2 linked regions of the Caenorhabditis elegans genome follow. The protein of the gene in region 2 purifies or fractionates together with the protein of the main gene of each other region. This does not show direct contact. Each region holds a gene or a part of one and is shown on either strand. Other genes may lie near its edges.

Region 1 (3,755 bases), 7.4 Mb from region 2:
TTTCAGGAACAATCAGAATTAACTTTTTAAACTAGAAGTACTTTGTGGTTTTATGATAAAAAACTAAAAAACAGTAATTATCTGATACGACAAACTTTCCAATTCTGAAAATATGAGACACATGTCGCATTAATTATTTCAGTATTCAGTTTTTCCCAAAAGAAAACGGAGAAATTGAAACATACTTGTATGCATTACTTGGCAATCCTCCATTACATCCCTGATCCATACTATCACAATCCACAAGTTCTTGTTCTGAAAGTGATACAAGCTTGTTCTTGGCAATGAACCATGCTCCTTCCACATTTCCTGTCGTTGAGAATGCCCAACAACTTCCACAGTTTCCTTGATTCTTTACTTGAGTAACTGCTCCTTTTTCTCTCCAATCAAATGATTCTGGAAGATCTTCTTCATTAATTGTGACATCATGTTTCTCGAAATTGGCTTGTTCCATTGGATATACTGGTTGTTCCCATTGATATGGAAGCATTATTTTCTTGAATTCCATTGTTGTCATGTCAGAAAACTTTGTGAATCCATAGACAGCGGTTCCTTGCTCATTTTTCTGAAGTTCTCTGATAACTTTTGCGTTTTTCTTGAAAACTCGGAATCTTTTTAGAACTTCTCTTTTGTTAGTGTACTTCTTCTCGTGTCTGGAAATAATTAGGTAAATTGAGAAAATAACGAAACAAACAATACCTATCAACAAAATCAAGAAAAGAATTCCAAATGACATAGTCTCTTGGACGGATGATCTTTGCCTTTCGGAGTTCCTGAACAGTGATGGAGTCGTCGTGAGTCAGTTGGATTTTGCGGTGACTGAAAATATTAACAAATTTCTATGTTAAAACATAAGACATAACAAGTTTCACTTACTAGTTAATCTTGTCAGTAAAAATATAAAAATAAAAAATATCCCAAAGACCACAAGTATTATGAAACATTTTTTGTTATAGTGTGATTATTTTTATCGGAAAAATTTTTATCGTCTTTACTTACTCGAACTTATCAATGTTCCTTGTAAACTCTTCCTCACAATTTCTGATGTGCACGATGTCTTTCAGACCATAACCATGTCTTTTTACACGGCGACTGATTTCAACTTGACACTTCTGCAATTAAGACATAAATCATTAAAATCAATAAAATCATAAAAATAATATTTTGTCTTGTAAGACAATTATTTTACTTTAAACTGTTTCAATTCGTATTTCATTTAATTTTGAAACTTTTTAGATTTGTTAAAAACTATAAATCTGATTGTTCTGTTTTTTACACGGGATAATCGGAAACTATACAAGACTTTTAGAATAGGTCGTTGGGGTCCACTTAGCACAAAATGTGACTAGTTTCAGAAAAGATTTGTAAACTTTATAAACGCATAATACTTTTTTCAAGTAAACATTCCACCCGGGTTAGGTGTGATGGAGCCCCATCGAGTGTCCAGTCAAAAAAATCTTGAATGTATTCAAAGAATTCTAAAATTATATTTCCTCTTCCTATTCATTTTTTGATCAACTATTTTTGGTTTTTGTTTTCTCACCTTGAGTGTATCCGTCTTCCGACACTTCTTCCCCTCAACGTCCGTCTGACCCTTCTTACAATCGGTTTTGACCAATGTGACAAAAATTGAATAATGTATTCCACCGGACAGTTTTCTTTCAACCTCCCATGTTCTATCGAGTTCCCATTTGTAGGCATCATTCGATTGCTGATTGAATTTTTCAACACCATGTCGCGCGAATTTCTACAACAAAAATAATTTGACAAGGTGATGGATGGATAGGATGACAACTGGTTTGATAAGGAATATAAAATGATTGAAATAGATTACCTCGTACAGAAGTTGGTCTTCTTCATTTATCGGCAACACTTTTGAGACAACTGTGTGGAGAGATGCAAGTAACAAAATTAGGCAAACTATAGGTTTACCCATTTTGGCTGAAAATAAGATCATGTGATAAGACAGAGAAAATCAGAAAGAAGTTTAGTAGGAAGAAGTTGACAAGATACAGTGAGATTGATACAATAATAAAAAAAAATAGTAAATGCTTCAAACCAAGATTTTGAGCCACCTGAGCAATTTTAACACGAATTTTATGTTTTTTTGATAATTAAAAAATCAAGAAGATCCAAGAGCTGGTGTTCTAAGGTGTCATTTGATAAAAGATAGATGTGGTTGGGGGTTGATGATGGGAATGAGGCCAGTTGTGGGTCATATGGTACCACCGAACAGCTGCCCAGTTGTGGTGTCTCCCAAGGGGTTGCGAGTGACCGTATGACCCGGCATTAAGAATAAAAGAGATAAATAGAGACGCAGCAGCAGTTAACAGGCACAAGAAAAAACCGGCAAAAACATGATGAGTCAAAAGGGAAAAGAGACGCAGGCCATCGGGAGGGTAGGGTTACACCTTTTCTGAAGGAGTTTTTTGGAAGACGAGAAGGGCACAAGACGACGTGCAAAAGGGCGGCGACCGGGCGGCTCAATTGAATTTCTGAGTAGGGTGGGAGACACATCAATTTGTTGTTGGCTCTAGTTGTAGTGGTTTGAAATTTCGATTCGAGCGGGGAAGGAGAAGTACGCGGACACTCTAATTCTATTAGGAAAGTGCACTAAACCGAAGTATCGAGAAAGTCGGGAAGAAAGTGAGAATGAGAATGGAAGACAATTTTCTAACTACAATATTGTAGAGTGGAATATATAGTTTTGCCAACTTTGAATCTAGGAATTTGTGCATTTATATGAACCTCACCGGTGAGAGTTTAAAAAGCATTTTAGGCATTTGACCTACAGATGGAAATTCGTTCAAGAAACTACATTCCAGCGCTCCATTTCCTAGCCCACGTTCTCACATCCTTTTTATATAAGAATGTTTTATCTATTTCAAGATAATAGAGGACATTGATGGGTTTGCAGACGATTTTTATGGGGTTTAAATATTTGTTTCCAAAATTTAGAAACTCACTTTTATTCATACGATTATATTGATCAGAAATGGTTTCATAATGTGAAAATAAGAAAATTATTCTGTATCGTACTTTTGCAACAAAAATCGCTTGTCGTGAACGTTTTGATTTTGAATTCAATTTTAGTTTGCATCCTAGTTTCTCTAAAATATCTGAAGTCCATTCAAAATTTTACAAAATATGGAATAAAATTAAAATTTTATCAGAAAAAACAGAATGAAAAAACTCTGAATAGATCACAAAGAGTTGTAGTATTTTCTGACTAATGTGAATAATTGTTACGCTTATAATTGTGAATTTCAGAAGGTCGAGAAATTTCGATAACTTTTTATTGGAAAAAATTTAAAAAAATTAATTTCAGATGAATCATACGCCAACGATCAGAAAATATGTTGAAAATATCGACATAAAGAAAAACAAGAATATAAAGAAAACAAAAAATCAATGTTTTAAATTAAACACCACACAACAAATTCCTCATGATTTGTAGCTCCGAGGCGCTATGTGTTAACTACATTTTCCAGTTTTCGGACACCAAGTATTTCATATTCTCATGTGATATGATAGAAAATGAGATTGAGGGTGATTTGTCGTGAAAATGAAGGAGAAATGGAAAAACAACAAGAAAAAGAGAGGTGAATCGAACGTAAACACTCATTTTATTTCTTTATGCTCCCAACAACTTTCTTCCAGCAACCAAAAAATAAGGAAGAATTTCTCTGGCATTTGCTGGCTAGATGTATAGATAGATGTGTGAGAAGAATAGAAACTGAATTATTGAATTTGTA
Region 2 (3,755 bases):
GTTCAGAGATTATAGAGACGGTGGTGGTGGTGGGTTGGTTGGGAAGAATGGAATTAAATTATTAAAGGATTTTGGAGACTTTGACTTTTACAATAATATAAAATAGGAATTTTCAAAGAAAAAATCCAAAACAAAAAAAAAGAAAGCAATGGTGCAAAAAGTGTTCACTAGGCGCCAAAATTTTTTGCCGTTGCTTGTCGAAATCGAAATTCAAAGCAACAGAAAATATTTCAGGTACAATTTTAAAATGGCCCGTGTGACGGTGTGTGTGTGGTGCGAAAAGAGGGAATTTTCTACACTTTCTATAAATGGTTGAGGGGGAAAGAGAGAGGAAAGAAAGATTTTCGAGTTTGGAATACATTTTTTGGGAAGAACAATTTGGAAGAAGAGAAAATATGAGAAAAATACCAAGTGGGAAAAGAAGAAGCCAGCGGTTTTTTTTAAGTTTTTTAAATTTTTTTATGGGGTTTTACAGGTTGGAGGCATTATTTTGAGGAAGGGTCAAGCCGGGGCAGGCGACCAAGAACTGGAGGATCCGGGACTTTTTAATTTGGGGGCAGGGGCAGGAGAAGAAGAAACTCAATCATTGTAAAGAGGAAATAAGAAAAAAATGACTTATAAATGAGTTTCACATTCTAAGAAAAAAACAAAATTAGGTTGAGAGCACGTCTGTCAAAAAAGAGGCAAAAAAACTTAAATTTGAACATAAATTACATCATTTATAGCATTTTTTGACTGGGCTTGGCAATTTTTTTTTGGGGCTCGAGAGCGAAATCACAATTTTCAAGCGGGGAAGAATAAAAAAACGAAAGGTGAGAGAAAAGGTGTTGGTGATTCGCAAACGATACGGCGGCTTCAGATCCCGATTGGTGTGATTTACTTGGTTGTCATCATGGTGACGAACTCTGAAATATGGGAAATTTGATGAAATTTCGAAAAAAAAAGGTCTTGTAAGGACTCACCCTCATAATTGACTTGTCCATCTCCGTCGATATCGGCTTCACGGATCATCTCGTCGACCTCTTCGTCCGTTAGCTTCTCTCCCAAGTTGGTCATGACGTGGCGCAGTTCAGCGGCCGAGATGAAGCCATTTCCGTCCTTGTCGAAAACCTGCAAATAGGAAGATTTGAATGAGATTTTCTATACTACATGAGGCTTCTCTATAGTGAATCAAAAATGAATTTATAAATTTCCACAAATCTCTTACTCGGAACGCCTCACGAATCTCCTCCTCACTGTCCGTGTCCTTCATCTTGCGGGCCATCATCGTCAAGAACTCTGGGAAATCGATGGTTCCGTTTCCGTCAGCGTCCACTTCGTTGATCATGTCCTGAAGCTCGGCTTCAGTCGGATTTTGTCCCAAAGACCGCATAACAGTTCCCAATTCCTTGGTGGTGATTGTGCCATCGCCGTCCTTGTCGAACAAACTGAATGCCTCCTTGAACTCTGAAAATTTGGCAAAATTGATTTGGTTTTTTCTCGAATTTTGTAGTTTTTTATACAATTGTTGATAGATTTTTCGCCGCGAGAACCAGCCAACATCTGGAATAAAACACACAAAAATAGTGGCGCTATACATCTGCTGCTACGGCTAATGTTTCATCCATTAAATTTAAATTTCTACGCCGCGCCGCTTGGTTTCTGCTCAATTCGCTTCGAAATGAGAGAGGATTAGATTTCTTCAATCTCCCGGTCCTCCGTCCATCAATCAGAATTTAAAAAAGTACCGGCAATTTGCTCCTCGGTCAGTTGATCGGCCATCTTGCTTTCGCTGTGCAGGGGGTGTTGTTAGAAAACCCTGAAAAATGAAAAAGGATAATTAATTAATTAATTAAAATCAATATAAATTGTTTGAAAGCGAGCGGAACGACGTAAACAATGATGAATACCGGTGGGTGAAACGGTGACGAGAGAGAAAAAATCGGAGAGAATAATCGAAAAAAGAGAGAAAAGAGAGAAAATAGAGAAGAACTAGAGAGAATTTACTGACTGATAAGCCAACGATAGGTACAAATTTTATATTTCGAAATGAAGAGAGAAGGAGACGAAATCAAAGGTTGATTTTGTCGAATTGGAAATATTTAGCGATTTCACTCTCCTCAAAGCCGAATTATTATTAGAGCGCGCTTGCTACGCGCTTTGCGTTTCTGCATCCGCGATGTTTTTGCCTGTCCACTGAAAAAATCAGATTTATTGAATCTTAGGAACAAACCAAAATGACGAAAATCAACTTTTTTCGTCCACTGGTTGAGAAAAAGTTGAAAAAATCAGCGGGATATTTTTTTTTGTTATTTTCTGAATCTATTTTTCTATCGAAAATCGGTTTTAAACCACTTTTGACTCTAAAGTAAGGTCACAAATGGATTAAAATCAATTTTTAATAGGAAAATATTTAGAAAATAAGAAAAATCTCGTTGATTTTTTCAATTTCAAACCTTTTCACAACCAGTAGACGAAAAAAGTTCATTTTAGTCATTTTAATTTCGATGTTCACTGTCTAGCAATAGGTTTGTCCGTGAAATGCTGAAAAAAAAACATCTACTTTCAGTGGAAACACGTGGTGCCAGGCTGGGCTGTCCCATTACGGTTTGATCTACAAAAAATGCGGGAATTTTGCCCAATAAATGTGATGTCAGCACGTTCTTAACAATGCAAAATCAGTTGAGAACTCTGTTGTCTCTTCTCCCGCATTTTTTGTAGATCTTTGTAGATCAAGCCGGAATGAGACACTCTGACACAACGTGTGGAAAGGCAAAACACCGCGGATGCAGAAATGCGAAACGTAGAAAATTATTCGGCTTTGAGGAGAGCGCGTGATTTCTGTCAAAAATCCACCAAAAAAAAACAAATTTCCAGTGGGTAGATCAAAGATCCCCTGCGGATATTCCATTACACATAATAATCGGAAAACTCTGATGGCCGAGACGTCTTGCGGAAGGAAAAGAAATGAAACAACAAAAAAGAGAGAAGATAGGGGTCAGTGTGTGTGCGTGTTCTGGTTATCGAATTATCCCCACAATACTTCAATTTCCTCTTGTTTTGCACGCAAAACGAGAAGTTGAAATTGGGGGATGGGGAGGGGGGGGGGGGGGGGTGTAGCGAAAACGGCCAACGTCTTATTCATCTGCGACGACCACCACCACCACCGCAACAAGAAAAGAACGGAGACGTGTTCGTCAATGAAGAAGTCTGAACACAAAAACTAGTTCTTCCTTCATCTCATCATACGTCCGAAAGAACATCAGCAGACACCGCGTCAACAACAAAAAAAGCCGACCAATTCTCAGCGGAGCGCATTTTCGATATGGAACATTAATACGAAAAAGGGCTGCTGTACAAGGGGATTATATAAGCGCGCGCGCGAAACGGAGCGGCGGTGAAAACTAAAGCATAATCCGACCCGGCGCAAGGGTTTTCAGGTTTTAACCTATAATGGGAAACCAGGAAAAGGGAATAAACAATCAAAAGAGACCTAAGAAATGTTTTTACAGAATGATAAATCACGAGAATATGGAAAAATAGTTGCGAAAACCTATTTGACGAGTTGAAAAATCAATGAATCACATGATTTAGCAAACAGACTCTGTTTTTTTTCTCGTTACACCTTCGTTTCTCAATTTGTTGGATCTCTCGAGCCTCCTCAAATATCTATACGAACGCTGGACAAATATTTGGCGGAAATCTCGGGGGGTTTCGAGGTTTTCTAACGAAGCGGCTCAGAAAGTCGGTAAAAACAACGAAGAAGCATTTTTCAG

What was found. Proteins that work in one complex are often made in the same cells at the same time.
Region 1: the proteins of cmd-1 (region 2) and tag-196 purify together in Caenorhabditis elegans (affinity purification with western blotting; one study listed by BioGRID). This does not show direct contact.

What each region holds. Positions count from the first base shown.
Region 1 is NC_003283.11:8,593,100-8,596,854, reverse strand, and holds the start of tag-196 (Cathepsin F), read right to left. Parts: upstream 1,942-3,755; 5' UTR 1,937-1,941; coding exon 1,835-1,936; intron 1,748-1,834; coding exon 1,544-1,747; intron 1,113-1,543; coding exon 1,000-1,112; intron 820-999; coding exon 700-819; intron 654-699; coding exon 186-653; intron 1-185.
Region 2 is NC_003283.11:1,154,314-1,158,068, reverse strand, and holds the start of cmd-1 (Calmodulin), read right to left. Parts: upstream 1,799-3,755; 5' UTR 1,762-1,798; coding exon 1,728-1,761; intron 1,447-1,727; coding exon 1,208-1,446; intron 1,111-1,207; coding exon 963-1,110; intron 906-962; coding exon 877-905; 3' UTR 1-876. UniProt on the Caenorhabditis elegans protein: Calmodulin mediates the control of a large number of enzymes, ion channels and other proteins by Ca(2+). Among the enzymes to be stimulated by the calmodulin-Ca(2+) complex are a number of protein kinases and phosphatases.